Linked DNA regions of Drosophila melanogaster. The protein of the gene in region 4 purifies or fractionates together with the protein of the main gene of each other region. This does not show direct contact. Each region holds a gene or a part of one and is shown on either strand. Other genes may lie near its edges.

Region 1 (7,855 bases), on a different chromosome or scaffold from region 4:
TCTAGTGATTTAAATTACGAGCTAATAAACTAAGAAACTCCACTTGCTTTTGAATGTATACATTTGCAATAAGAGATACCTTCGAGTATTGTGAATAATTTGAATTTCTTATTATTATATCACTGTCTTACGAACGACATTATCGATCGACTTGTGTGTGCACAACTTTCCATTTTCTGCAATTTAATGAACGAATTTCAATAGGCGTGTTGAGCCTACGGGGAAAATCATATATATCGGGCAGATTTTTTAATAATAAATCCCCTTGCACACACTCCATGCGTTTGCTTTTGTCACATACGAACGCAGGCTCACCCACATCGAAAGGATTCGAAGGATGCACGCACACAAACGCCCACATGTATGTATGCAGGAGGCCTATCGGAGGTCCTGCAGACTCGACAACCACGTCGGCTCAGCTGCCTGGACTCGTGGGCTGATTAAAACAGATTTATTGCTTTAAATGCAATTTACATAAAAATCAGACAATAAGTTCAGCAGAAAACGTTGGCAAACGGAAGGTTTTCACTTTTGCAGGGGGGGAATGTGTTCGAACCTCACCCGAAAATTACTTCACAATACACACATTCAATAAATAATTTCAATTTGAATATTTAATTTGTATATTCGTGCATACATGTATTAATTAATGAAAATAATTATAAGTGCTGTAATTAATATTATATTATAGTTCTATAAATGGACAATACTAAACATATGCAACTTAGAATATGTTCAAAATCACTAGGATGTGTTGATCGAATAAGTGACCTAAAAATATATCTTCTTTCAATTAATTAATTTAAATGAATAAATAAACTAAACGTGCAGCTGCCCAAAATCCCCGCAGCATTTGGAGTAGCAACATGATTACAGTTACTTTTAATTATATAAATTAGCTACATTTCCCTCTTATTTAACGAATTAATTTACTCCCAGCTTTTGTGTCAGCAGATCGCTTGCCGAAATTTGCCTCGGCCGAAGGCAGGTGAATAAAGTGATGGCTCCTGCGGCTGGCCGCATATGTGGGCCAACTTAGTGGCAATAAGTTAAATTAGCATAAACTTAATTAGCATAAGAGTGCTGGGCCAACTGGGAGACGGTAGATAGAGAGACCAGGAACCACGATGGCACAAGTGGGCGGGAATGCTGGCATATATGCCACCCAGGCCACCACCCGCTTTGCATATATTTCACTGCAAATCCGCAGCGCATTAAAAGAAAATACGTGGCAAAAAAAGAGTGCAGGCTTTATATGTATAAAATAAAATGCACAGCAAAACAATGCAGGCAGCATGGGTGAGCATTTTCGAGTCTGGGGATTGTGCCAATGAAGTAACGACCGCACATACAGATACAATGTTGCCCAGCCCGTAGGTTGGTGGTTTGGATTTGCAGAATGGCAGGATGGCAGGATGGCACTGCGCTAAGTGACTGCTGTTATACATTTAGCCAGGGCTGATGGGATTGTGCCGAGCGATACGGTGGAGCAGATATGGCCAGAGATACGTTTACAGTTGGAGTCGAGAGTGCGCCCGGCCACCTCATATGCTCGCATACTTGTACACTCGCCTCTGAACAACTGTACAAATGTACAAATGTACAAATGTACTCCGGTGGACTACACTGCTGCCACCTGGCGCCTCCACCTGATCCCCAAAGCGTCCAGGAGCGCGACAAGATAAAAGCTGGTGCACTAAATCTGCTGCTATGTGCGCCACGGGACACAGTGGGCAACCTTCTACGGCAGCTCCTATTCTCGCACTGCTTCTTTTGGTCGGGCCACGCTGCGTATGAGCAATGCTATGCGCGTTAAGTATATGTATTTGTTTGTCCTAAAGGATTTAGCCAAACGGCCCTCATCATGGTCGCCTGCATATGCAAAATAATGCGCTCGAAAATTTTCCACTCGTTGCACTCACTTAGAGCAATGGTATTTTAGGAAAATATGCAAGTGCACTCAGTGCTTTTATGTATTTCATTCTGATTTTCATGAAAAGTTATATTTATTGTGCTCTGTAAGTAAAGCAAGTGCACGGAATTGGGAAAATAATATATATTTCCGGACAGTCTGAAGAAAATATTGATATATTTAAACTATAAAAAATACCTGTGGGAAGATTGTTCGGATTATTTTAATCTCATATGTGCAAAAACGAATTAACGAACTTTTATCATCCACTTTTCGCTGAAACTGCAATACATTCTGCAGGCCCCTAAAGCTCGATGGCCATCATTAATGCAGCCATTATTTCCCATATTTTTTATTTTTTATTTATATTTCTCCTTATCGTAGGCAGGCCTGAAAGGGGGGCCAAGTTAATTTCAGAGCACACTTTACGTGCTGCAATTTGGAGCGTTTCAGTTGCATTCGGACCCGGGCCAGCAGCACATTTGGTAAGCAATAAATTGACCCGCCAGCCGACGCCATCATCTACTTTAAAAGCATTTGTTGCCACACCGCCACCACCCAGAACCTGTGGCCGCGCCCCCAATCAGCAGCACTTGGAGCCATCCGCCGCCCTGTGACCTCCTCCAATCCCCTCCAGCAGTTGCCAGAGCGCCGTACTCGAAGCGGCGACGACGCTAAAAAGATACCGGAAATGTTACAGGAAACAAAATGACTTAATGGCCGCGATTGCAACGGCATGGAATCGTTTCAGGCATCCTCCTGATCCTGGTCCTTTTCCATTTTCCTTCATGCTCCTTGGTCCATAGCCTGCTGGCATTCATGGAGGTTGCCGAGGTCAGCAGAAAAGCATAAAGGAAAGGTTATGGCACGGCCATGTGCTGAATGGATACCCTTCTTCAGATCGTCTTTGTTTACAAACATATTTTATATCAATAAGTCATAGTTATTATTTTTAAAAAATAATAAAAAGTTAAGCACTCTTTTAAGTGCTCAAAGAATAGCTATTAAAAAAGGTACTAAGTTTAATAAAATACTTATCACGTGTAAGACAAATATATTCTATTAAGGTCAAGTGATATTTGTGATGTAATCCCACTTACATAAACTTTTTTGAGCTAGCATTTAAGCTCATGCTTCTCGAATTCCCCACATGAATTGCTTTTCTTAAATGGACCAGACTCTCCCACTCCACACCTGATGTCCTCTAAATGGAGCCGATGATGAGCGTGATCCGCCAAAGGCAAGTTACTGCCCATACGACCCGACCCGACCTCTTTCTTTAAACAGGTAATTGCAATTGCGACATCATTATCATATGCTAAACGGAACTGATTGCTATTGAAACGGTTTTGAGGTTTGAATTTCTTTTGAGCTGAAACATATTTCTAATTAAATTAATTAAGCGAAGCGAGAATATGGCAAGTATGCAAGCCAATTAGTGGAAAACGCAAAATTAAATGTCTGTGCATTGAGGAGACTGCAGCGGTGTGGAGTGGATGGGTGTAAAAATAGCTGGGAAAAATGGCAACCAGAAGAGTGCGGGATCGCTCCGCCAACCCATTGTCCTTGTCCATGGAGCACTTTGTTGGCCACTCCGGCTATAATTGCGTTGAGACATGTAAGCTTTTGTTTTGCAGTTAGGCGTGTGGCTGTGCGACAAAGTTAATGACAGCATAATTAAACAAAACTAACAGCAGACTAATAAAATGTTCATAGTGCATGTCGCTCAAGGCCTCGGCACATCACCACGCCATCACAACCCCATCACCTCGCCACCCACAATGCCAGCTACTTTCCATATCTCCAAATGTATATACATTTATACAATACATATACCTGGCGAGCATTTCATGTCGTTGTGTGTCAACGTTTGTCAAGCGACAATTAAAGTCATAATAAAGGCATGCTAAAGACAATTATTATGTGCACGTCCTGCCACGCCCCCCAAAAAGAACCACCCAGTTCGTTCGGTTAGTTATGCATAAAGTTCGCCACAAAAGGGTTTAACCTGAGCGTAAACATGCGCTCCTTTGTCTCGCAGGCATATAAATTTCAAAATTAAAGCAGAGTTTAACCTTTGTCCTTGTGCAAATGGCAGGGTGGGTCTATAACCACCTGCCTGCGATTGTGTGAGACCCGCATAAAGAGCCTTCGGTTTTAATGCACGCGAAATTGACTTATTTGATTTATTTTCATAGTTTAAGCCAAGGGCTTTTATTATAAGCATGCTTTAAGTGAGTGGATTTGAGAGGGGATTTTAAGAAAATGCAAGGCAAAAGTTATATTTATATTCGCGTTGTTAATTATTTATTGAGTACTGTATTTTGCGGTGATTAAAAAAATAACGTTGTGTTTGAATAAAGAAAATCATTGTCCTCATAACACTGAGAATGCATAAAATAATTTTTTTTTTAATTGCCCCCAAGTACAGTAAAACAAATGTGCACAGAGCTTTCTTCGAAAAGTTATCCAACCAGCATGCATTCCACTATTCGCTCATTATGGAAAGCGGCTGATTAAATATTAACTAATTTAATAAAATGCCGGCCTGCTTCAATATTGAAATAGTCAGCGAATGTATTTGCCCAAGCGCACGTAGCCGAGATATATAAAAGGTGGTCCAGGGTGCAGAATGATTAGGCTATCCGTTGACCGACGATGCATTCGACCAAGTCAGCCGTTCTCCTGCTCGCCCTGGCCATCAGCGCCAGCTGCGTTGTTGCCACACCGCATCCGGAATTCTTGGATGAAATCTTCGGCTCCATAAACCAAACTGGCCAGCACATCATCAGTGGATTCGTGAATGCCACCAGGAATGGCACGGCCATTGCTGGTGAGTTCCTGGACAGCATAAGGAACTCCTCCGCCCAGTACACGCACGAAACCCTGGAGTTTGCCCAAAAAATCGCAGATGCAGTTCATAGAGCCGCCACTGAGTCAATCGTCGACTTTTCCGCGACTCTGAGGGCGCAGATCGACGCACTGCATCAGGGGATTGATCGGGTGAGAAACATCCTGCAGCGAGAGGCACTTAAGGATGCTCTCGCCAGACTGCAGACCGTCAATACCGTCGTAAATGATCTGGAAGTGGCCGTGAATAACCTCAATGATCGGATAGACGAGAAGAAACAAGAGTATTTCGCCATAATCCAGAAGAAGTGGTACCAATGGTCTGACGCCCAATTGGAACGAGTGGATAAGCTGACGAATGGAGTTGGCAACGAGGAAGCCGAGGAGATCATAAATGAGCTACTCTCCCGGTATTCCGGATATCTGCACAGCTGCCTGGAGGAGTTGCAAGCGCAGCAAGCCACGTTTGAGCAAAATGTCCAAGAGGCCATCGAAAAGTACCACAATGCCACCAACGAACTGACGGACCAAGTCGAGCTCTGCGTCCAGTTCAACCTCAGCTTCCTGTCCTGCCGCAATGGCATCAATGAGGCACTACGCGGACTCGACTCGGCTCCCGCGGAGCTGCTCACCCTGAAGCTTCAAGGCATCCGACTACTGGCCATCGGCCTGAATGCCAGCGGATGTGTGGGCCAGACCCTGGCCGAGCACGAGCTGGAGAAGCCCAGCGTGGAGCGCAAGCTGGATGAGATCATTGCGGAGTACCAGGAGCAGCAGACTTCCACCGATGACGACTCTAGCTCTAATAATGAAACGACCACCATAAGTTCGTAGGATTTCGGGGAGTCATCCAGTAATGAATATGACAACTCCAGCAATGACGACGAATCCTCATGGAAATATTTACAAGAACGTATAGTGTATTTTAGGTGTCGGGTAGAAGCAGCAAAATAAATTACTCTAATGCAACTAAATTAGAAATTGTTTTCCTTCATCGTTTATCAATGATGTTTCTTAATAAACTATGCCAAGCTTCTCAAAATATTTCTTAACTTTGAACAGTACTTTAAAAATTACTCTACCGCAAACGTATTACCCAGATACCGATTAACTTCATCAATGGTGCAGCACATTTTTTGCGGATGCTAAAGCAATTATTTTAAAATTGTCATATTCATTTATTTAGGTAAGGCACGAAAGTCGTGGCAATTTAAAGACACGAGGCTTTAGTAGATTAATTATTTAAATGCATTCGATTCTGCCTTTATATGTAAATTAAATAAGGGTGCTAAATAATATAGAAAAAGGGAAAAAGAAACTAACTTGCACTCTTAGCACCTCCCCTACTAACAAATGATGCAAATGAACTGAGTGAATTCCCCTTAAAGGACTTCCCCAGCTGCTATAAATATAAATAGTTGTATAACAACAGTAACGAAAGGTATAACACTGAATTAACAATCTCAACTGCTATAAAAATGAACTTTTGTGCTTTTGTATAACAGTCAATTGAAGAGGACACGAAGCGCGTAGTACAGCGTTTATAAAGTTTTATGCTGTTATATTTTTCAATGAAAATGTGTTATTTCATATCGAATATAACAGATTTGCTATAATATTCAAATTATGGCTCCGTTCAACTAGCATACATCTGATTCTCATTTATAGCTCATACGCCATGTATACATAACTAACGTACAGCTGGGTAAATTACATTTATAGCTCATACGCCCTGTATAACACGTGTACGATTTCCCCTTTATGACTTTGCGAGGGGGGCACTAAATGAACCACTCGAGAATAAATATTTGCTGAAATAAAACGCAGGCTTTCTATCTTAGTTTGCTTACTTGCAATTTTATTGACTTCATGTGTTTGAATAGATCTCTTTAGTATCTGAATTTGCCTCTTATTACCTAAAGACCACTAAATCTGTTTTTCTGATTTCTGTTTATTATTTACTTAATGATTATACTTTTTGTGCGCTAAGCCAAACAAAAAGTTTACAGATTTCGAAGCATTGGAAATTCGATTCAGTTTCGTGATAATACTAAACTTATCATTTTGCGTTTCTGCCTCATGCACAAGCCAAAAGACAAGGACCTGTAAATATGTCCCAAGCTTTTTCAGCCCACTAACTCATAGACTGAGCGCTTACCTCGGAGGAGTTTCGGCCTTACTAATTGATAATGTTGCACTAACAGTTCGCTGGCAAAATATCGATACATATTCATTGTTTTGCTGCATGCAACGCCTTACTTTCATTCTTGTATACCTTATTGCTTACTCTAAAACACGAAACAATGGCTTAGATTACATATGAATTTCGCATTAGGAATTTACTGAATTTTGTTTAGGAATAATTTTGCATTAGGACTACCAAAATCGGGAAAGCATATTTTCCAAATTAAAGAGAACAACCAAACAGTGATTAGTGATTATAATAATTTCGTAGTTGCTTCTATCTAGCATTGTTTAAGTATTTCTTAAGTCTCTCATCCCTTGTTTCATCGGAAAATATATCAATGAAATATTTGTTTCAAAATTTATATAACTGAAAATATTTCGTAGGACTCAAACATTATGTAGAGGAATTCAAAATATATTTTTTTTGAACAACCAACTTGATTTTCGCTTGAGATCATACAGCTACAATCATGTGTTATTGCTTCGATTCGTAAGTGCGTTCCTTTTATTCCTACTGTGAGCAAATGAACATACTTAAATACTTAGGGTCAGTTAATTTGTTGAGCATTCTGATGATGGCCAAATGAAGTTGATAAACCGCACCGGAACACAACCAACTAAATTCTCAAACTAATTGGCACATAAATGAACCAAATGCCCCAATTTAAATGTTTCCAACAATGTCCATATCTCATTGGTACTCCACCCTGGCCACGGGCACGCCCAAATCATTGATCTCAAAGACAATCAGCTTCCGTTTCTTGCGGACATTGGCCGATGGAATCGATTGCTTGGGTGTCGTCGTGGTCTTTGTGGATGTGGTGACCGGGATGGATTGCTGCTGCTTCGTTGCCCCTCCTTTCGTTGTTGCCTTCGTCGTTGTTGTGGCTGTGGCAGTGGCCACTC
Region 2 (7,430 bases), on a different chromosome or scaffold from region 4:
TGAGTATAAATAAAAACTTTAAACTATTGTAAATATTATTAGTTATTATTAAGATTACGGTGTTCGACTTAAAAAATGATCTTGCATAAATCACTGCACTTGGTGTGATCACATTTACTTATTTTAATCCTATTAATTAAAAAGAATACTTGAACTTTCCGAACGCGGGGTTTTTCAACTGTCTTAGCATCTTACACTAAATTTTAAACACTTAAATCAGCGGATTTTAGCTGAATGGTTCAGCGATGAAATGTGATCGTCGACGATCCTTCTCCCAGCGACTTCTCCACTCGACTAAACGCTTCGCTGGATTTTGGCGCTTTTAAAGTGGACAACGTTTTCGCCGACTCCGACGACTGTGACGTCACGAAGCGTGCGCGAAAAATAGTAGTAAAAGTTATAGCTTACTGCTATAAAACAGCAACAGAAATAATCGTGCAAAAGCAAAACCAACCGCCATAACAGCAAAACCAAAATGTGTCTTTTGCAAAGGCACAATTCAAAGTTTAACGAACTTTTGAAGGGATCGAGTAAGATTGCGAGAAAAATATGAGCCAAGTTTTGTTTTAAGCTGTATTATTACGATAGTTGACTTAGGTCAGGGTTCTTGTACCACGTTCTTTGATAAGACGGCTATGTTGATAAACCCACAAACTGGTTTGAATATCACCAATTGAGTTGATTAGTATTCCTGCCTTTGATTTGGCCTGACGATTTTGGCCTTACCCATATGCGTGCCAATTTTGGAAGGTTGGCCAATTCACATAAATATTTAACATATTAGAACTTGCTAAATAAAAACCACTCTTTATTTTTCGGATACGATTAAATTAAACCATTTCGCCAAGAACTTTATTCTGAAAAATTAGATTTCCGTTTAAGCGATATACGTAGATAATAGAGTGGAAAACATCATTTAAATAGGTTTCATCTAAAGCAAGCTACTGAAAAGCTGTTTTCCTTGAATACACAATTTAATGTACACAATTTAGGAAGTTACTCATTGAGTAAGACGGTGTACCACCACATTTGTTTAAAATAATTTAACTGGTTGAGTAAATCATTTTCAGCCCTATAAGAGTCTTTGGTCAGGATCACTAGTGAATTCGGTCTATTTTTAGGGGAAATTTTTTAGCGGGGGTTTTGCAAAAGTTTAAAGATCTTCCCTGTAACTGACCACAGAACTTTAATTGTTAATCACCGATCTAAAAAAGTTACTAACAATCTAATCACAAAGTTACTCCTCGAAGAATGATTTACTATCAATCTATAGATAAGAAAGACCTATAAAAGATGTTAGCAGCTCGAAATGTCCACAACACCCCGCCTCTCAACAATCGAATCATGTTCTCAGCCAAGAGTTCTGCAATTGTGGCCGTAGTCCTCGTCCAGATGGTGGCTCAAATCCACGGAGGAGTCTACAGCTATGAGGACAAGTGGGTGTACCTGGACAAGACCCTGGACCTTCCAGAGGAAGCGATTCTCGGTGGCGTCGATCCCGATGGTTACTACACCTACGTGGGTCGTGTCACATACAGCAGTAACATTCTGCCAGCCCGAGTGGTACCGGAGCTGGGAAAGGCCACCTACAACACCGACACCTTGGGCAACCAAGCCACCACCTACGAGGTTCTGGTGTCCAACGCCACTGTCGGCTACCATTGGATCCGTAGTTTCGATGGTTTCCGGGAAAAGAACGCCGTATCTGTGGGAACCAACGCCCTCAGCGAGCGTGTCTTCATCTGTCGTGTCCGCTGTGATGAATCCATCTTTATCGGCACTCTGTACCTTTCCAAGCGGATGTGCATCGTCAAGTACGACAACTTTCCGCTCCGGCAGTTCGACAAGTACGAGATCCTTGTCCGCGAACGCCATGTAGCTGCCGTCTCGCCATTTGTTGATGGTTATATCCACCATTAAATGCTGAGCAACAAAATAAATAGAATAAAATATAAATACAAAATATTTATTAAAAAAAAACAATTCCTTTCAATTTATTTAATGACTTTGAATTAATAAAAATAATTAATATAAAAGCAAAGTTTCCTATTCTTTTTTCTTAATTTAAAAGAGGTAGAAAAACAGAATAACTGTGTTTAAGTTTTTGATAAATCCAAAGAAGAAATTATGTGAATTCCTATTTTCAATTTTTTTGTAACTGTAACTATTTATTCCTTTGTTAAATTAATTACTTAATTATACTCGTAGAGTAAACGCATTTACTTGATTTTGATTGATTGACAATGATATAACAAGTGGATGGAAGCTTTTTCAACCCAACAAAGTATATATAGTTTCGATCAGGATCACTAGACGGGTCATTCAAGCCATATCCGACTGTCCGTACGTTTGTCTGTATGAACATGGTAATCTCGGGAACTATAAAAGCTAGAAAGTTGATATCAGACTTGCAGATTCTAGTCACTTCAAGATATCTTCCTAGTCAACAGTTCAAGAATGTACTGCTACAAGGGCTTGATAATTGTGGCCGTAGTCCTAGTTCATTTGGTGACCCTTATCAGGGGAGCAGTATATAGCAGTGAAGACAAATAGATCCTTGCCGACAGGACGAAGGATCTGCTGGACGAAGCAGTGCTGGCTACATGAACTACGTCGGCCGTGTGTACTATAATGTCCTCAATAATGTCCTGCCTGCCCGAATGGTCCCGGAATTGGTTAGGGCCCACTTCAACACGGACGAGGCTAACTTTGCGCTGAAGGCGTCTTCATAGAAACGCTGTAGCCTTCGAAAAGAGGGTGCATTCTCAAATACGAGTACGAGTAATACAAGTACGAGATACTGATCAGGCAACGCCAAGTGGCTTCGTTCATGCCATTCGCTCTGTAAATACATTGTATGTATACTGAATGCAAGCAAATAAAATCTATAACTCTTTATCAGAAAATAGTCTTTTGCGTTCTTAATTGATTTATCATGTTAGATAAGATGACAACTTTGATTTTTATATAAGGAAAGGAAATTACATGAATATTTCACTAAGCTAATTGAAATATATACCAACTTAAAATTTTATTATATATTAAAGAAGTGCGATATAAGATATTCCATAGGGGAAAATGTTGATTGTATGACACGATCTTTCGTCTTGTAAAACCTGTATGTCATGGGAAATTAAAAAAAATTGTTCTCTAATATTGTTTTATTCAAAATATATTAAAGTAAAACTTATAATTTTTAGTTTATTTATATCAGACTAATTTTGACCAACTTGAAGAGCATACAAACTTTTTTTTGATTCAAACGAGAGGGATATTTCGATGGCTATGCTCTTTACTAATATTGGTTTTAAAACAAAAGTTTTTAGTTGCTCATTGTATGAACAAACAACAAAATAAATATATTAAAGTTCCTAATTAAATATATTTTAAATCATTTTATGTTTAACAACTAAGTTATAGCTCAATATTATGAAATGACTTAGGGGGATTTTTTCTTTAAATTTCTCTTACTTTGAAAGGGTGCAATAAAACAACGATGCGTTAGTCACCGAAACAGATGCTATCAATACCAATCTTTTGATAGCGATAAGTGTAATTGGAGTCGAAAGATAAGAAGACGACTATAAAAGCAGTTAAGTCACTGGCCAGACACTCAAAGTGAATCCAGCAGTCCGTCAAGATGTACAAACTTGTCTGTGTAGTTTTGGCCCTGTTTGCAGTTGCCTACGCGGTTCCCTCGACTTATGGTGAGAACCAATAATAATATAATATAGAGGGTTAACTGAATCCAATTAACATAGCCATTTCGAACAGATACCGAGCACGTGTGGAAGGCTGGTAACCTGTCCTACGTTATTCCCTATAATGCCGTTGTGGGTGGCTTCGATCCCTACGGATTTACCACCTATGTTGGTCGTGTTAAGTACTCCAATAGCATCCTGCCGGCTCGAGTTGTTGCGGAAACTGGTACTGCTTACTTCAATACGGAAACCACATCCTCGAAGCTCCTCGTCTACGACATCCTAGTGGCTGAGCGGGATGTAAATTACGTGTGGGTCAGGAGCTTCGATGGATTCTATGAAAAGGGAGCCGTTGCCGTGGGCACGACGGTCAAAAATGAGCGGGTGTTCTGCTGCCGTGCTAAGACCGATGGAGGCATCCTAATCGGCACCCTGCTCCTTAGCAGCCAGAAGGTGTGCATCATCAAGCACGAGAGCTTGGCCCTGCGAAAGTTCGACAAATATGAAGTTCTGGTGGCCCAGCCTAAAGGCAATGGAACATACTACTAAATTCTACTACTAGATCTTTGTCTGAATTAAGTTCCTTTGATATCCCGGCTCCCTTAAAAAATAAATAAAACATAATTTATTTCAAGTAATTATATTTATTTTGTAATTCACGGAATCGCACTTATTCAATTTTTTGATATGCATCAAATCTTATTAACATATATAGTTCAGTAAATGGATTGACTTTGAAACACTTAATTTTTATAAACAGACTAGTTTTATAAAATATGATTCTCAGGCAGATGATGTTTTTCACAAATTTCTTAATACATTCATATTTCTGGCAAAGAAAGACGTCTCCTTTCACATCAAAATTATTAATTCGTCCCCAACAATTTTTATATCATATTTATATTCCATGACATTTATAGAAAAATTAAAATAAAATAAAAATAAAACTGCCATTAAAATAAAACTTTATGCCTAAAGCGAAAATTGAGATTGGTAATTTTTTAAAAATGCCTTTTTGGAAGGACAACTATTTCTTAACTCGAAATTTCTTTTAAATTCATATTTTATTATGAACTCATCGTAATTTTCTGTTCTACATGCTGCTATGGACAAGAAAATGTATATACATTTTAAAGGTTTTAACTTTCGTACGTTTTTTTTACTCTTAGTTCATTTTGACGAACAAAGTAAGTCCATAATGTCTTTTTTGATAGATAGAACAGTTGATTGATTATGGTATTTAATCTGTAACCAAAGATCTTGCCTTGATTTCAGTGTCGTAAACTATTTTGGTTAAATACTATGTAAGCCACTTTGATTGGCAGAAAGCTATTTGGCTGTGCTTTAATTTAATTTGAAGGGGGTTTTGCAACTATCAGTTTTCGCAGAAGTAATCGATTAGATAAAAAGGGAGATTGGCCTTTTGACACCGGATCAAATTGGACAGTACTCAGAAATGGTTATTGATAGGTAGAATTGAAGTCATAAATTATCGCATTTGTTGCAGAAAAGCTATCGGTTTACTATGAGTTACGGCCACAAGCCAATTGGTTAAATAATAAAATATAAAATTGTCTATTTTCCTTAGACGAAGTTTTTATTAATTTTTTGAATACATGCCAACTTTGCTAACAAGATCATTAAATATTTAACCTACATAAGAATTTTCATTTAATTAATACAACTGCTCGTGAAGATGAATACCACTAACAGGGTAAAGACTTTCATTACCCCGATAGTCCCTGAACTGGAAGCCTTCTCGTCCTGCCACCAAGTCCACTCATTATGGTAAAATCGTGGATCGCAATTGGGATCCCCCGGCTTGTTATTGGGAGGATGTGCCTGTTTGGCAAATTGCTGGATTCGCGACCAAAGATCCAGAAAGATTGTCGAGTTTTGATACTCCGCATATAGGTTGCTCCGCTCGCAGGGATCAGCCTCAATATCGAAGAGACAGGGTCCCTCGAGAGGCAAGCAGGGCTTGACTCCTGTCGCAGGATCTGGGCATTCGATCCTGCTCTGATCTCTTAGTTCGCTGATGTTGCGCTCTCCGAATGACACCTGCTGCAACTGCAGCCAGACACTGGTATTCCGAACGAGTTCTTCGTATTCCACTGCGCGAGGATCCACTTCACTGGTTTCCCTATGACCAAGCCAGCCGTCGTAGAGACCCTGATTGGTAGTGCCGCTAATCACCTTCCACTTTCCACGCGTATAGGACAAATGCGGCTCCGCCACGTCCTCATCAATCACATGGACAATCTCCCGTTCTACCGACTCGTATCCGTACTTGAGGGCAGACCACAGGTTCAATCCGTCCAAATGGAGCGCCGGATCCGGGGATATTCCGGCTGCTGCCGCCAACGTGGGCAAAAGGTCGCCAATATAGATCTGCTGCTTCCAAACACTTCCCAGCCGCTCGAACTCAGTGCTCCAAATGGCCGCTGAGGATCGCAGAGCACCCTCCCAGGGGGAATTCTTTTGCTAAAATATAAATTGATTATAATCAGCGAACTAAATATCAAAAAGGAACATGTTCCAAAAGTGTTTGCATGAACGTTTTGGGTGTTTTAGTATTTATAAATAGTTAACAACGGACATGGGCAGATTACAAACGATATATCCACTTCTTACATTTGTTAAACAAATTTAGTTTTATCTACGATTAACGGTAATGACATTGACATTGTGTTCAATTATTGAAAAAAAAAGTAGTACAAGTTTTATAATGAAATTAAATTAGTTCAGTCCGTAGTCGTTTTATGTTTATACGTAGTTTTAGCTTATACATAAATATCAAATAGCATGACTTACCCCCCTCAGTGGGTAATTAGAGGCAGTGGTAGAGTGTTGTCCCTGTGTTGGCCCACCATTATCGGATAGAAAGAGTATGATGCTGTTTTGGAGCATTTCCTGTCTGGCTAGGGCGTCGATTACAGATCCCACACTTTTATCCAGTCTGGAAACCATGGCGGCGTAGTAACGATGGGTTTTATTGCTAATGTATTCAAATCGGGACACCTCCTCTGCTGGTGCCTGCATGGGATCATCATCATTTGCAGCATGTGGAGCCAGATGATTCAAAAGCAGAAACAGGGGCTGGCTACTATTTTTCGATCCATGATCCTCAATTTCCTTGACGGCAGCATCAGTGAGCAAATCGGTGACATAATGACCCACGTGATCGTGGGTGGATTTAAGACTGTCTCGGAAATCGTGACCATTGTATCCCTTATTCTGAAAAAAACAAAAATATTGAAGGTTTCAATAAATTACAATAGAAAATTGAAAAAATATGAAAAATGTGATGTATGTATAAACAATATTTGTAAGCAAGATAATTTTGAATTTTTACCACTGTAAAAGTGTTATTATTTTTCGAAAGAATTTAAAAGAAGGAAACTTGCACTGCAGCTAGCTGAGTAACACGGGTATGCGTTTTTGAATAATAGATTCGTTTCCTAACTTATCCTTACCTGTTGTTCATAACTCTGGGTGTAGTAGTCCACATAGGCCCCAAGGTATCCCAAGTGACGATCGAAGCCCCTTTCCGTAGGCGTAAAATTACGCTGTGACAACCCCAAATGCCACTTTCCAAGGAGACTTGTTCGATATCCGTTTTCCCGGAAAATCTCCGCCATGGTAGTCTCATTGAGTGGAAGACCCCAAGGCTGATCGTTCACAATCACATAATGCTGCATTCCTAAAAGTAAGTTACAGTTATAGGAT
Region 3 (7,996 bases), on a different chromosome or scaffold from region 4:
GGGCCTTTTCAGCGATGATCACCTGGATGGCCTGCAAGCTAGAGGCATCTGCCAGTCCACCATTGTGTTCCGACTCGTTTTGGGCAAAATAAGAAGCGGCTGTGGGCAGGGCAGACTGCTCCGGCGGCTGCGTCCCACCTGCTCCTCCACCGTTCACATTTATCTCGCTGTCTGACCGTTCCGACAGATTGCTGGATATGCTCACAGTGGACGAGTGCGATTGCGTGGTGGCAGCCACCGGCTCCTCTGCTCCCGGCTGCCCATTGTTGTTGCTGGCGCGCTGCTGGTACTCCTTCAGCTGTGTCCACAGAAGCGTGTTAAACAAAATCAATATTAGTCGGCCAATATGTGTCCACGTCACAAGAGCAAAACAATTGTGTGTGGCACTGGTTGTCGCACCTTTTTCCTTGCCGCGGCCAACTTCTGCGCCTTGGCATCCTGCGTGTCATCGGGCATGTCCTTCGGGGTCAGCAGCGGTACCTTTGCCACACCTGGAGTAAGCTCGGTTCGGAAGGCGAGCCAACAAATGTAAATTAAGCTAGGCAAAAGTGGAAATTTCTGAATGTTGATAACAGGTCTGAAGTTCAGTATGACCGTACGCGTTTAGAGCCAAAATGCCGCGCGAACGGGTACACTAGGCGGCAGGGAAAGCACAGTTATATATTGGCGCGCATTTTTAGCTTTTTTTTCATTTTTAAAATCGAACACGTATATATGCGTATCCGTTTTCAATAAACAGAGATTATGTACAATTAAGAAATTTCACTCTACTTGCATAAACGTTCATGCGAGGAGGTTTTGAGAAATACTCTTCAAATTAAAAAAAAAAAACAGTATTATTTATCGAAACAACCATTAGTTCATCGTTTCTTATCACTTCACTTAAGTCGGCTTCCTAATTCAGTCGTAGTTAAGCCGCTGTGAGGAGTAGAAGTCCAGGTCGATACGATGTACAACCTTATCAAGGGCTCCTTGGCAACATACTGCTGCCTGTGCCTGCTACTGATATTGATTGACCCAGCGGAATCGGGACAACTGTCAACGAGATTCAACGTGAGCTTCGCCCAGCTGGATTCCTGCGAAACCTACTCCGTTCCGAATACGGGCTATGGCTACCGGAGGTTCTACATGCTGCGCGAGCTGAGCAACAACAACAGGAAGGCCGGAGAGCGGCTGCACTTGAAATTCTACGTCCTGACCGCCATGGATGCGCACATCCTGCTCTCGGTGACGAATCACCCGCGCCCAAATGATCGCGTTTACGAGATCGGTGGGTGAAATCAATAATATTCAGTTTTAATTCCAGCATTTCAATGAGCTCTTTCTAGTGGAACCCTACCTAAATATTCAATTGATATCTTTATTCCGCTTGCAGTGATAGGAGCCGGCGGAAATACGTTTTCCGCAATCCGGAATGCTATGGGAATGAGGCGGGTGGCCACGAATCAAGAGCCGAACTTGGTATCGCTGTACGACCCGACGCCAATTGAGATTGTCCAAAACCAGAGTGAGTTCCCCCATCTTATCGGGTATTCCCTGCCCCTCCAACGCACAGTATATTTCCAGATGGCGAGCTGTTTGTTTACATACCCGGCTTCAAGAAGGAGCCCCTGCTGCAGTTCATCGATGAAGCACCGCTGGTCATCAACTATCTGAGTTTCAGCTCCTTTGGTTCCAATACGGCGCGGTGGTTTTACGACTGTGGCTTCGATGGTTATGGTAAGGATGATATATAGTAAGCTATAAGTCTATATCTGTAAGTATGTTCTAAAACTGACCCATTTCAGGGTCGGAAATTGCACCGATAGTGAAGGAGGAAACGAAGACGGAAAAACTGCTAAGCCATCTGAATATCCAGGCGGAAAATGCAAGCATGCCGGCTAATCTCAGCTCCATATCGTTCCACTTCCAAACGCGCTCCCTCGCCTACGAGCAAACCAGTTCCTTGCTTCAGACCCGCATGCACATGATGATGGTAATGAAAGATAAGCTCGAAATGCAAATATTTAGTGTGAAACAGTAAAGATACATTCGCCTATCCATGCAGCACTGGAGGGATAGTCGTCTTGTCTGGAAACCCGAGGACTTCGGCTCGCTGGAATCTTTCGAACATCCTGACCTTCGTATATGGAAGCCGCATATGAACGTCCTCAACGGCGCCCTGCAATCCATGGGTCAGGTCCTCCAATCCTATGAGCTGATGGTCTACGCCAACGGAAGCATCACCCTGTACGCTCAAAACCTCCAGCTGGCCAGTTGGTGTGTGGACAGTGCCCGAAACTGGCCAAGCGAGCGAGTGACTTGCGACATCGAGCTGGGTCTCAATGGCCAGGAGGGGCAGGAGAATGTGGCGCTAATCTACGATGATCAGCGCAAGCCGATTGCGCCCAATGAGCACGTGAACACGCCATCCGGCTGGTCGTTCACGCAAATGTCCGTGGTGCTGGTGGAGAACGATTCGCAAAGGCGATACAACCCCAAGGGAATGATGCAGAAAATGACCGGCGATGTGGCAATTGAGTTCACGCTGCAAAGGAATCGGAGCTTCTACATGACCGTCTTCTATTTGCCGTTGATTGGTAATATGAAAATGTGTTTGATTTCTTGTTATGGAATAACATATAACTACAATATATTCTTTCAGCCTGCCAGATGTTCCTGATTTTGTCCTTTGTACTGCGTTCTACTCGTAGGAGTTCCCTCATTCTCATCGCCTTGCTGATTGCCGCCTGGGGTTTAATGTACATGACGCGCTACGCCTCTCCGCATTATGTGCCGCCCATGAGTAAGTTTTAAATCAATTAACTAAAACTCACTGTGTATAATTTTCAAATTCAAATTTTCACTTTTCCTACAGTGACTGCATATAAAGTCATCATGATGACCACCACCTATTGCTACATTCTGCACATCTGCATTATATGGCTGGATCTATATCCACCCAGATCGAAGGCTCCTGGCTGGCTGGTTAGGGTGATTAACTCCAATGTTCTGCGATGCATTCTGGGATTGAGATTTTCGGATGTGAGTAGTTAAGCCCCTATTGAACACATATACGTATTGCAATTCACTATATTCCTACAGTCTACCGACTATTGCGACATTCAGGAGAATCCCTGGCACCATATGGCCAAGATCCTGAACAACCTGAGTTCAATCTTGGTCATTATAACCTTTGCCATCGTAGATATTACGAGTGGGTTTTGAAAAACAGAATTTTTCTTTATTGTGCATTTGAGAGAATATTAATGGTTCTTAAATAAATAAGAAGTAAACAGAGAAGATTGTGAAGATTTTGCGACTACAAGTTGAAAAAGTGGGAGAGCGTGCTGGGCTGTTGCGACTCCTCGCAGTTAATTGCTGCCATTGTTCCAACTCCGATCCGGGATCGATTTGGATTTGGAGTGTTTTGGTATCGGAGCTTAGTGGTAACCGTATCCACCCAGGGACAGGGCAGGTGCAGCGTATGACTTAACCAGGGCAGGAGCTGCGTAGCTGATGGCTGGAGCCGCATATGACTTGACCACCGTGGGAGCAGCGTAGCTGATGGCTGGAGCGGCATGGGCGTAACTGATGGCTGGAGCGGCATAGGACTTGATCACCGGAGCTGGAGCAGCATAGGCGATGGCAGGCGCAGCGTACGACTTAACAATGGGCGTGGCATGGGAAACAACCTGTGCATGCAAAGTAGATTGTAAGATTAAATGGGAAAATATCAGAGTATATCCAGATCTTACCGAGCTGAAGTGCGAGTAGCTGGTGGCTGGAGCTGCCACCTTGACCGCCACAGGAGCAGCATAGGACTTGACCACCGTGGGAGCGGCGTAGCTGATGGCAGGAGCGGCATGGGCGTAGCTGATGGCTGGAGCGGCATAGGACTTGATCACCGGAGCTGGAGCCGCATAGGTGATGGCTGGGGCAGCGTAGGACTTGATGACTGGAGCTGCAGCTGCATATGTTATGGCAGGAGCGGCATGGGCGTAGCTGTAGTCCGGAGCCGAGTGTCCATAATCAAGGAGTCCAGGAGCAGCAGTGGCCACAGCCAGCAGAGAGGTAAGGATCTGGCGAGGTAAATGGAAAACCAAACTTTGATGTTAATCTTTTTGATCTAGTGAATATAAGATCGAGGTAATCCTTGTATGAAGATATCCTTTGCAGTCAGTATTATTGGCTTAAAGTGATAATACTGATCCTAGGCCGCATCCTTTCCAACCCTTTCCACTCACCAGAAGTTTCATGCTAGCGCTGGATAACGAATCACTTGGCTTGGAGGGAGAATTGCAACTGTAAGTGGACGTGTGCATTGCGTTACTTTTATACCCCTCGACGGCAGACCACGCACTCGCACTCTCGAGCGGACTGCGAACTGCGGACCGGAGGACAGGTGGTCGAGCGGACAGATCTTGACTAGATTTCGATCTGAGCCTCGGACGGACAAACAGTCAGCAGACAGCAGTCAACAAAGCGGGCCAAGCAGCACCAATTTGTGAAGTATCTCGGCTGCAGTGAAACTGCAATTCTCGTAGACGCAGCTCGGATTGGAGAGCCCCCAAACGCGGATGACGCAACCTGAACTGGAGCTGGGAGTTGGGAGCTCCGAACCGAAGGCAGACCACTTGCCGGCTAAGGAGTCGCCGCAGGAAAGGCGGTCTTTACACTGGGGGTGCCATTGTGGCTCGCATTTGGAAAGCGCACGCTAATTGAAATCGCTGATTAGCTGGCCAATTTGGGCAACGCGCCAGGTGACACGCCCCTCGAAAGCACGCAGCCTTGCCACTAACAACTTAATTAGCCAACGTAGAATGCCGTCTAATTGTTTTCGTTGCTATGTTTGAGTATTCTCGAAACAATTCTCGGCGTGGCGCTGGGAAATTCTCTCCAAATTGCATAATGAACGCTTGCCAAATCGGCAAACGCCAAAACCAAACACCAAGCAGCAATCCCCTCTGGCCGAAATATCTAGGCGAGCTTCATATTTATCTTTATCGTGCCTCGAATGCCGCTGCGTGCCACATTTGACCATATTGGATGGGTGATTTCAGCCGCAGCCACGCCGTCTCGTCTCGAGGACACTCGTGCGTGGCGAGGGGGTTTGGATCGAGTGGAGGCCCCAGTTCGCCAGCTCCAGCTCCAGCTTCAACTCGCCATCGATCCATCGACTTTGCCGGCTGAAATTGCCGGTTCAGCATCTGGCAGTTCGTGGGATTTTTTATGGCCGACTTGATTAACCCCACGGGATGTGCGGGGGTACGGAGGTGTGACATTGGGTCATCACAAAATTAATAATGCTACAAATTGTTGAGAATGCTCGTCGTGATCCTTATCACGGATTAATAGTGTCTCAAGTAATCATTATATCACTTATTCGCTTTAAGTATAGATATGGTGTATATATTCATTTCTTAAATGATTTATATTTTTGTGGACTTTACATAACTTTTTGAGACAATAAGGTAGTCCGTGTTTAAATACTTGCTTTATATATTAGGGTTAAGAAACTAAAGTTTGGAAAGCACATAATGTCTCAGATTAGCGCATGCAACTTGCAGCACTTCAGTGGAGTTCCTCTCAAGAGGTCTCGAAAACACCACTTCAACGCCGAAATCTCGTAAAAAAAACTCGAAAAAAAACTTAGCACAATGAGAAAAGGACAGCACGAAACGCCGCAAAAGAGACAGAGAGTCACCTGCGATCGCAGTTCATGCATAAATCATGCATGCCAGTGGAATGTGATTTATGTGAATTCTATTAGCAAATATTAAGTCAATAGGAGCAATTGTTGCCAGTGGTCGGCGACTGCCAAACAAGTGTTCCATGTCCAATTCGATCCGGACAGATGCGGACAGATCGGTGTTGTGTGTTGTGGTCGGTGTGTCGCCGGTCCTCATAAATAAAAGATTTCCCAGCCACTGCCCCACATTTTGGCCAGGTGGAAAGCAATTTTCCAGCAATCGGTCGGTGGATCAGAAGGGTGGCAAACTCGAATGCCAAATTGCCACATACTAAATGACGATTTAAGGCGATCAGCCGATCGATCCTCGTCTTGGTTTTTATGGCTTCGATCGAGAGGCGAGTCTTTAGCCGCATTTGGATTTGGCGATCGGGCGGCGTGTGCTCCAAAATGGGTGCAAAATGCCGCGAATTTTGGATGACGGGCCTAATTAGCCACTGGCCACAGAATGGATGAGAGAATTCAAAGCGATTGCCCAATGGATCGCAAGCGCAGAATTCTTCGCGGCGCACGCTGCGTATGCGTTATTTTTCGATCCATTCAATTAATTAACGCCGCTGCATTTGACTTGCAAATGCTTCGCGGAACGGCCAAGAAAAACATTGCAAAATGGAAAAGCGCCGCTTAATTAAATCAAAAACAAACGACGAAATCAACCAGCCTGAAAAACCAAATAAAAACCGCGTGGCATTTATGACGCTTTGCCTGAATTAATGAATGAATCGTGGTGGACATGGAAATGGATTTGGAGTTCAGCTTTTGGGAGCTGACAAACTTAGAGCCTCGCTGCTGACGTGACTGGAAGTTTTTGAAATGCACCGCACCAACTTTGATGAATTTGTTTTCAAATGTATGATTCCCTTAAAAATCGATTACAATTTGGATAATATTTTAAGCTAGCAGAAAAATTCCATGTGATGATATATATATACATATTTGGAGGTCTTGTAAATGAATTAATTTTTTTCTTTGTGTATTCCGAGTCCATTTTGCATTTAGCAATCCCAACTGACTGCAAATCAATGACTGTTTCTACTCCATAGACTGCTGGCCATTTTGTCGCCTTCTTGTTTGTTTTTCGTCAACAGGAATTGGTGGTAAGTGGTGTATTTATGGGATGACTGCGTCGAGGCGGTCGGTTGTGAAATGATTATTGCCATGGTAATGGTCCAGATAAAGTGGGCTGATTAAATAGAGGAAAACGGGCTATAACGATCCTGTCTATGGATATTTGTGTATGTTAAATGGCGTGATTAATAAATAATATTTAATAAAATACAAAATATTTAAATTTAAAATGCTCTTAATGTTTGCGCTAAGGTGAAACGGGTTTGATGTAAGCTTAAATTTAAAACTAGCTTTTTCGCTGTCTTAGCTTAAAGATAAGCTTGGCTTAGTGGCGCCATCTAACAGATGTTCTGCTCAATTTTCATGACCAACAGATGGCGTAGCTTAGGACAGCGGACGTAGATAGCTGTCATGTATATTTTATGTTTTATGTAATTTACTTGTATTACAAACTTTGTTTTGAAATATAAGTTAACATTTGCAAAAAAAAATATAATATTGTTGGCTAGATTTATAGTAGTATATATAACCTTTTTAAAAAATGTATATAAAACATTCAACATCGACATGGAATGGAATCCTATTGAATGAGCAATTCAAGTTTATCATTCAATACAACTCTTTTTTCTTCAATCGATTGCCCTTCGCTACGTTTCCATAGAAAAAGACCCAGAGACTCAAATAAATATAGATCAAAGTCACTGAAGTTAATGACGTATGAGCAATGCACGAACCACAGCATTGGGGTGTCGGCGATTTAAAGGGGTTAAATGCTCCCCTTGAAATTCAACAGGTGAGCAAGTGGGTGGAATACCTATGTATGTTTGTGGGATGGATGGATTGGACTTCGCTGAACACTGACCTTAAATCCAATTTTAAACACGGTTTGTTGAGGATTGCTCCCCTTTTCCAGTTTAGCCGTGATTAAATCAACCTTTAAGCCTAGATTATTAACTGATTAAGTCCACTGCAGTTGTGTGACTGACTGCGCATTTAAGATTGTTTTTCTTTATTTGTGCGTTTGTCAAGTGCAGTTTGAAATTCAAGTTGCCTAATAACTTAAAACCCCAAGCAGCTTTAATGGCCATAATTCGTCTGTGGACGCAGAAGAGGTGGAAGAATCCGAAGGCAAAAGCCAAGAGGAGTGTCTTCGTGTTGTTGCCATTGCTTTTGTTGTTATGGCGGTGTTAATGTTGT
Region 4 (8,378 bases):
TATTTAAGACACTTTGGCCTGCGCTTTTACCAATATTTTTGTGGCCCAACTTGGCCCGAACTCCTTGGTTCCAACAATATTTTGCATTGATATGCTAGAGCTACCAACAAGTATATAGTATTAATATTTCTAACAATTCGGAATGTGCACTTAACTAAGCGAAGATTGAAACTAAAAATCAGAAGATGGAAACATCCTATTTAAATAGGTGGAAGTTTAAATAAGCAAAAGTCTCTCGCCTAAGCCCTGATCCTAAACTCTTGGCTGTATTTCTAATTGTTATCGCTTCATGTTGAGGTTTATTGTTATAACGCCAGCCTCCCATGAGCAATACTCCCCCCAAATTACCGTAAACAAATTATTTTCTAATCTGAGCCCAAGCCATAAGTGGAGAAGATTAGACCTCAACACCACAAAAACACCGACAACAATAAAATAAATCTAAGTTTACAAAACCAAACTACGATATTTACTTTTGATTTTGTTCCCTTTTTTTTGGGATGATCTATTAGACTATTATAGTTCCTAAATGATTTAAGATAAACAAAATAGATATTTTTAAGCTCTTTATCGAGCGTTTATTTGCTGAATTTCGCGATGTGCTCGTTAAATGTTTAGGTAATCTCAAGAAAAGGGCCAATATGGGTTCAACTTAGGGACTACAGTGTTTGTGTGGTTGGGTGGTTGTTTGTTGTTTGGTAGTTGCCATTCCAGGTGTCCAGAGTAAGCAGACTCATCCTTACTGGTAGTCCTTGCTGTCCTGGTTGGTGTTCCACGCCTGGTGGACACCGTGGTAGCTGCTCTGCTTCTGGGCGGGTGCGTTGCGGCCGAAAGGAGACTTGGGGTTCACCTGCAGAATGTAGTCACCCTCGAGATCGTGAGCGGTATCGATGCCCATGTAGGCACGCTTGCCGAATCCATCGTTCTGCTTGTACTGCTGCAGGGAGTTGGCTGGCACGGCGGGGAAGCTCCTCTCGTTTCCGGGACGCACGGACTCGGCGAAGTAGCGGGTGGCACGCATGGCGGCCTCCACCACGTTGCTGGCTCCGGGAACACCGGCGGCAGGTCCATTGGGATAGAAGTCAACATCACCGGAGCGGATGGGGGTGCCCATGCCGTAGACCGAGGTGTGGATGGCGTCAACGAATTCAGCATCACCGCGAGCCAGACCGGTCAGGGTGTTCTTGCTCTTGGCCACGATCTTGGAGGGATCCAGACCGGTGACACGGCGCAGCTTGTGTCCGGTGAGACGGGTGAATTCCTGGGCAGCGGCACCGGCAACATGGGCACCCACATTCTGGCCAATCAGGTGAATGGTATCGAAGGGCATGTCCAACTCGTTGACCATCTGGACGATCCACTTGCCGATCTTGGCGCCGGTCTTCTCAATGTCGAGCATGGCATAACGCTCATAGGTGTTCAGCTTGGAGCCCAAATCGATCACAATGATGTCGCCGCTTTGGGTCTTGGCGTTCTTAACCTCCTCGCTGTAGTCCTCCTCGCTGCTGGTCCTCTGGTTCTTCCTCTGTTCGTTGCTCTGATCCTGGTAGTCCTGGTTGCCGTTCTTGCCGTGCTGGCGCTGCTGCTGCAGATTGTAGCGCTGCATGTAAGCCTGAACCAGCTTCCTGGTCGCCTTCTTCACGGTCTCGCTGGTCTGGGGCAGTCCGGTCACAATGATGGTCACCTCATCCTCACCAAAGTTCTGCTTCTGCTTCAGGCGCTGGATCATCTCGTTCAGGGGAGCAACGGTCTTGTCACCATTGGGCTTGGGCACATAGACCTGGATGCCGCTGGGCACATAGTTGGGCTCAACGTTGTGGTGGATCTGCGACAGGTGGTCTACAAAGGATATATATATTCCATAGAATATTCGATGTTTTTTTTTTTTTTTTTTATCTGCATCTAGGATTACTCACAGACTTGCTGCAGCAGCTCGGCGCCACGCTCCAGGTTCATGTTCTCCAGACGCTCAATGGTGAAATCGTCGAGGGCGGGAATGGCCTCCAGCTGGGATCCGGAGAGCCACTGCGACGGCTTCAATGCCTGGTTGACGGAGTTGTCCATACGGCCATTGGGCTTGGCCAAGGCGGCGACCGCCAAGCAAGCCAGAAGGCTCAGCACTCTCATGGGGTTCATGGTTCGGATTTGGGATTTGGTCCTGCGGATGCGACTTCAACACTGAGTGAGTTGAACTGGCCTTCCAAATCCAACGATGGTGGTTTATATACCACAATTTGCGCTGAGCGATTTCCCATTTTCTGACTCGCTTTTCGCTGGCTCAGGCCTTAATCGGTCACTTGTGCTGAGTAAGGGTTTTCGGGTGCCTGGGAATCGGATGAGTGTATATGCTATCGATAGCGGAATAAATTGTATACATACAAAATAGACACGGGGCCTACCTATAGCTGACCCCACTGATGACTTAGCAGCACCTGCTGCCGCCTGATTATTTTAATTTGTAATCACTTTGTAGGCTCCGCTGATTGCAACATTGTAGTTGTGCACCGGATTTGATCAAATAAATGCATAAAATATAGATCTAACATGGGCATTAGTTGGTTATTATATACAACATTTTATTGATTTTTTTTGTTTATAAGTAGATTTATATTTGGCACTTTTCTTCTGCTTAATTAAAAGTCCATAATTTTGCATTTTCAATTCAAGGCCGATACAGTTCATTGATTCCTAGATGTTTGCCATTGATACGAAAAGTATGGAATGTTTGTAGTTTCCAAGGCAAGATAGTAAGATTATATTTGTTTTTGGACTTTAGAAATGAATTGATTCAGGGGAACGTTTTTCAAGGAGATTCTATTTTAATATCCGGGATTCGTTTTATAATATATGATCTTATCGATGCTATTTCATGTAACTCATTCTACTTATTAAAAATATATGTATATTTCGATAGATGTAAATATTTATATTTATAATATTATAATTTATAATATATTTATTTTGCATTTCCCTGAAAGTGCTATCTGCTTATAGAACAATTTAGACAATTCTTTTGGCAAACACTTAAATAGTTGCATAAATTTCACAAAATTGCCAAATATTTTTTTCAAACAAAAGCTTTATCTTGACCTGTGCATGAGTTCAAGTCGTGCCCCCACTGTCAAGCCCCTTAATGGCCAGACCACCTTTTGTTTATGTTATGAAAGTGCTGGTTAAAGAAGTTTCCCATTACCTGTTACCCGATGGATACTTAATAACCAAAAAAAAAAAAAAAAAAGGGGAACGAAATTTTAGAGCTCATCAGAAGTGTTGCAAAATCACTGACGCTGCGAATCAATGCATTTGTGCTGATCCAGAAATCGGTTGCTGAAATCAATTGCTTCCGGCGCGTGCATTATAGTGTGTATAGACTACCGATTCCAAGGGGTATAAAATGCATTGAGTCGCAGCAGTGGGTATGCAGTACAATTTGGTACGGTGTCTGAAAAAGTCGAACTTGGAAGCCACAATGAATCCTCTGCGCACCCTTTGCGTTATGGCCTGCCTTCTGGCGGTCGCCATGGGTAATCCCCAATCTGGTAACCGTTCCGGTCGCCGATCCAACTCCCTGGACAATGTGGAGCAGCCCAGCAACTGGGTCAATCCACGTGAAGTCGAGGAGCTGCCCAACCTGAAGGAGGTTACCCTTAAGAAGCTGCAGGAGATGAGCCTGGAGGAGGGCGCTACGCTGTTGGACAAGCTCTGTAAGTTCAAGGATCTCTAAAAGTTCTACCAATCATGTTATATTTACACGCACTATCCTATCCCGCAGACCATCTGTCCCAGTTCAACCATGTCTTCAAGCCCGATTACACCCCGGAACCCAGCCAGATCAGGGGCTACATTGTCGGCGAGCGCGGCCAGAAGATCGAGTTCAACCTGAACACTTTGGTGGAGAAGGTTAAGCGCCAGCAGAAGTTCGGCGACGATGAGGTCACCATCTTCATCCAGGGCCTGCCCGAGACCAACACCCAAGTGCAGAAGGCTACCAGGAAGCTGGTGCAGGCCTACCAGCAGCGTTACAACCTCCAGCCCTATGAGACCACCGACTACTCCAACGAGGAGCAGAGCCAGAGGAGTTCCAGCGAGGAGCAGCAAACGCAGCGCAGGAAGCAGAACGGTGAACAGGATGATACCAAGACCGGAGACCTGATTGTGATTCAGCTGGGCAATGCCATCGAGGACTTTGAGCAGTACGCCACCCTGAACATTGAGCGTCTGGGCGAGATCATTGGCAACCGTCTGGTTGAGCTGACCAACACCGTGAACGTGCCCCAAGAGATTATCCATCTGATTGGCTCTGGACCCGCTGCCCACGTTGCCGGAGTGGCTGGACGCCAGTTCACCCGTCAGACCGGACACAAGTTGCGCCGCATCACCGCCCTGGACCCCACTAAGATCTACGGCAAGCCCGAGGAGAGGCTGACCGGACTGGCCCGTGGTGATGCTGACTTCGTTGATGCCATCCACACCTCCGCCTACGGCATGGGTACCAGCCAGCGATTGGCCAACGTGGACTTCTTCCCCAACGGACCCTCGACCGGAGTGCCCGGAGCCGATAATGTCGTTGAGGCCACCATGCGTGCCACCCGCTACTTCGCCGAGTCCGTGCGTCCTGGAAACGAGAGGAACTTCCCCTCCGTGGCCGCCAGCTCGTACCAGGAGTACAAGCAGAACAAGGGCTATGGCAAGCGCGGCTACATGGGCATCGCTACCGATTTCGATCTGCAGGGCGATTACATTCTGCAGGTGAACTCGAAGAGCCCCTTCGGCAGGAGCACTCCCGCCCAGAAACAGACCGGCTACCACCAGGTCCACCAGCCCTGGCGCCAGTCCTCCTCCAACCAGGGTTCCCGCCGTCAGTAGATCATCGCACAGTGATCCATCGATGACAACCAGATCGCACACCCCTCATGCGAGCGAACCACTCCAGCCCATCCTCATCCAGCAGAACCCTCTGCCAGTTGCATCCACTACGATTAGTTAGCTTTGTTTTTTTAACTCACAATAAAAAACGTTTGCATTTTTAAACATTCTAAAGAGTTCAGTTCAATATCAGAAAAAAACCCCAGTTCAATTTACAATAAAAACAATTGCTTATGTCGAAATATTTGAGAGTTCTAAATGCTCATTATATAAAAATATCCAAAACCAAATTATGCAATGCCACTGAGGTCATAAAAGAAGCACACAACAAACATTTGGATTACATGATATGTTTATTTGATAAAGAAAGCATATTATCCATTATGATATATAGCGTACACACACGCACAACCACATATATAGATATGGCGCTATATATATGGGACGATGAACTACGGACAATATTTCTTGCTTACTACTGTATTGGCAGGCGCAAAAAAATTGGGTTGAGATATCACTAAGCTTAAATAAGAATAATTAACGTAGAATTTCAACTTGCTTCACTCATATTCATCGTCTCGATTTCAACAACCTCATCAGAACTAATCACAAATTGGAAAAATCATATACAACACGGGGTGCAATGGGAATGGATGGTCTTTTTATCGATGCGAATGGGTCTCCAGATGAGATGGGTTAATGGATTTAGAGGCTTATTTAGAGCTGTGTTTTTGTTTTTGTTTTTTTTTTTTGATTTGTTTGTCTATCAGTCTAATCGCGGCAGGGCTGATCCGAGGGCGACCAGGTGCACATGCCGCCGACGCCGTCGTAGGTTAGTCCCTTGGGACAGGTGTACTCCCATCCAACGATTCCACCGGTCTCCTCGAATCGGGCGCAGGATATAAACTTCCTGCAGTTGAGGGGATGCGGAAAATTTCCCTGTGCCCGGCACTCAATGATGCCATGACCATGAACGATCACCTTGGGATCGTTTTTGGTCGGAAGAATACTGCCACTGCGACGCCGTTGGGCGACCTGACTGTGAACCACCGGGAATCCCTCGTCCAGAAATTGACTACTTGACGTGGCTGAGATTACGGCAGTCTTGGCCGGCGGACGACTGTAGACCTCGATGTATTTGTGCGGACGACGACGACTCTGCTGGCGACGGGAGAGAGGAGGAGCCGAGTGTCCAGCCGACGTGGTCGATCTCAAAGTTGAACCGGATGTGGTTGTAGTGGGGGGCGTTGATGTGGTCGATTGCGGCCGACGAGGACGTGGGATCAATTGACGGCCTGCAGTAACAAGTTAAAACCAGTCAAATACAAACAACAATGCAATGGTTATACACTTACGGATTCCCTGGCCAATAACTGGTAGTGGTGCATTGGCAGTGGTGCTAACTGTGGTGCTGGTGCTCTTCAGTGGCTGCGCTGGCAATGCCAAGTCATATTCCTCTCGTGGACGCACCTGCTCTGGTATCTGGTTGAAGCGGCTCGTGTGAATGCTCGACTTGGCCACCTGATCCTCGTCGTCGTCGTTCAAATACAGAGTGGTGGTGGTTTCCAGGCCCGAAACTGGTGGGTTGGTGGTGCGGGCGGACGGCGGAGTGGTGGATATAAGGGTGAGGCGGCGCTTGAACAGTGGGTTCTGAGTTCTGGGCACCTCGGTGGCTAAAGGGAAAACATAATAAGAATATGAAATATGAAATTTAAAAAAAAAATTAAGAAAATTCATGGCTTAATATTTTGATAACAAAATAATTTCATTAGGCGAAAAAGCAATAACAGGATTGTTGGTAAAATTGAGATGTTTATGACAACTTATTTTCATCATAACTTGGCCTAAAATTATCGTAAAGATGTAAGAATAACATTTTTGAGCAGCTAATTACTAGTACTAACTAGTAGTACCTGTCACTTTTTGAAGAAATTAGGAATTTTAATTTTTGGGTCATTTTTCGCCTTTTTTGTAAGGGGTAACATCATCAAAATTTGCAAAAAATTACCAAAAAATAGAATTTCCATTTGTGAATACAGTTCGATTGGGAATTTTATTACGAGCTCAACGAGGTATGACATTCTATATTCAGGCAATTATTTTTAAAGTTATGCCAAAAAAAAACGGATTATTTGATGGCCGAATTTCGGAAAAACGGATTTAGCCAAAATCTTGATATTTACAATTGGAATTTTCGTCATAACTTGGCTAAAAATGGTCATATAAATGTAAGAATAACTGTTTTGAGCAGCTAATTACCCATGCTAACGATCCCTATCACTTTCTGGAGGATTTTCGAAAATTAATTTTTGGGTAAATTTTCGCATTTTTTGTAAGGGGTAACATCATCAAAATTTGCAAAAAATGGCCAAAAAATAGAATTTCCATTTGTGAATACAGTTCGATTGGGAATTTTATTACGAAATCAACGAGGTATGACATTCCATATTCAGACAATTATTTTTAAAGTTGTGGCAAAAAAACTGATTATTTTATGACCGAAATTCGGTAAAAACGGATTTTGCCAAAAAGTTGATATTTACAAACGGAATTTTCGTCATAACTTGGCTAAAAATGCTCGTTATGAATCTTTGGCGAGTTCGACAAGTTTCTTCGTTGCTGGTAATGAAGTACGTACCGTTATCCTATTGTTTGATAATGCATTTAAATTTATGCCAAGTTTACTTACCACTTTCATCGCCGTTGGCCGCCGGTGCGAAGGTTGTCAGCCGACGCGTTTGAAATTGGCGGCGCAGAGCAAAACTGGCGGGCTGGAACTTGTGCTGCTTTTGTGTGATGTCATTGCTGCTGCTGCTGATGTTGCTAGTTGCTGGCGTCAGTGTTGCTGCCTCACCGGATGCTGCTGCTGCTGCTGCGGCACCGCTCTTGGCTTTCAGCTTGCTCAGGTAAATGTTGCTGGTGGTTCTGCCGCCGGGAGCAGATGTTGCTGCTGGGAAAGCTGTTGTTGCTGCTGCAGTGGTCGTTGTTGCTGCTGCCGCTGCTGCTGTTGCTGTTGCGGAGGGTCTGCTGCGCAGTCGGCTGTATTTGGAGGTCGTCGGTGGTTCTGCTGCTGGCTGCTGCGTGGTGGTTTCAACCGCTGCCGACGTCGGCGAGTTGATAATCCGCCGGCGGACACTCAACACCGGTCGCCGCGAAACGCTGCCAGTCGTTGGTTGTCGCAGCTGCCAGTCGGTAGTCAAAAGTGGTTCGTTCGCGGTACATGGAATTATATTGAAAACAAACACTGAATTTAGCATTTTGTGTATTTTAAGATACATATTAAACGTTTTTTTGCAACTCGCTGTTTTGGTGTTTCGTATTTTTGTTTTCGTGCCTTTTCCGGCGGTGTGCAGTCAACAACAATTCAAAAGCGCGCTACATGCTATAAACAATAATAATAATCATATTGAAAATATTAAAGTATTGGTTAAGCATAAGAAATCTACTAAAGCCTTAAATAAATTAGTACTGTTTGGCGCTTGTTGTGTATTGTGTTTTACTGTGGGCATTTG

What was found.
Region 1: the proteins of Yp2 (region 4) and CG16826 purify together in Drosophila melanogaster (affinity purification with mass spectrometry, with the first as the bait; one large-scale study listed by BioGRID). This does not show direct contact.
Region 2: the proteins of Yp2 (region 4) and CG5506 purify together in Drosophila melanogaster (affinity purification with mass spectrometry, with the first as the bait; one large-scale study listed by BioGRID). This does not show direct contact.
Region 3: the proteins of Yp2 (region 4) and CG34205 purify together in Drosophila melanogaster (affinity purification with mass spectrometry, with the first as the bait; one large-scale study listed by BioGRID). This does not show direct contact.

What each region holds. Positions count from the first base shown.
Region 1 is NT_033779.5:13,343,227-13,351,081, forward strand, and holds CG16826 (uncharacterized protein), read left to right. Parts: upstream 1-4,546; 5' UTR 4,547-4,570; coding exon 4,571-5,596; 3' UTR 5,597-5,794; downstream 5,795-7,855. Other genes in the region: CG9395 (uncharacterized protein), read right to left, coding at 7,641-7,855.
Region 2 is NT_037436.4:17,880,556-17,887,985, reverse strand, and holds CG5506 (uncharacterized protein), read left to right. Parts: upstream 1-3,609; 5' UTR 3,610-3,640; coding exon 3,641-3,707; intron 3,708-3,774; coding exon 3,775-4,250; 3' UTR 4,251-4,337; downstream 4,338-7,430. Other genes in the region: CG16775 (uncharacterized protein), read left to right, coding at 1,345-1,920; CG7408 (uncharacterized protein), read right to left, coding at 5,373-6,185, 6,516-6,938, 7,178-7,404.
Region 3 is NT_033778.4:22,126,907-22,134,902, forward strand, and holds CG34205 (uncharacterized protein), read right to left. Parts: upstream 4,394-7,996; 5' UTR 4,305-4,393; coding exon 4,227-4,304; intron 4,062-4,226; coding exon 3,738-4,061; intron 3,675-3,737; coding exon 3,423-3,674; 3' UTR 3,208-3,422; downstream 1-3,207. Other genes in the region: GM130 (golgi matrix protein 130 kD), read right to left, coding at 1-298, 400-456; NtR, read left to right, coding at 949-1,270, 1,376-1,507, 1,567-1,719, 1,788-1,975, 2,048-2,579, 2,645-2,785, 2,858-3,024, 3,085-3,207.
Region 4 is NC_004354.4:10,047,675-10,056,052, reverse strand, and holds Yp2 (yolk protein 2), read left to right. Parts: upstream 1-3,418; 5' UTR 3,419-3,469; coding exon 3,470-3,704; intron 3,705-3,772; coding exon 3,773-4,866; 3' UTR 4,867-5,102; downstream 5,103-8,378. Other genes in the region: Yp1 (yolk protein 1), read right to left, coding at 740-1,839, 1,917-2,136; Cht6 (chitinase 6), read right to left, coding at 5,638-6,161, 6,222-6,539, 7,556-8,048. UniProt on the Drosophila melanogaster protein: Vitellogenin is the major yolk protein of eggs where it is used as a food source during embryogenesis. Vitellogenins and their receptor yl/yolkless are required for maintenance of microtubule plus-end orientation towards the posterior pole of oocytes.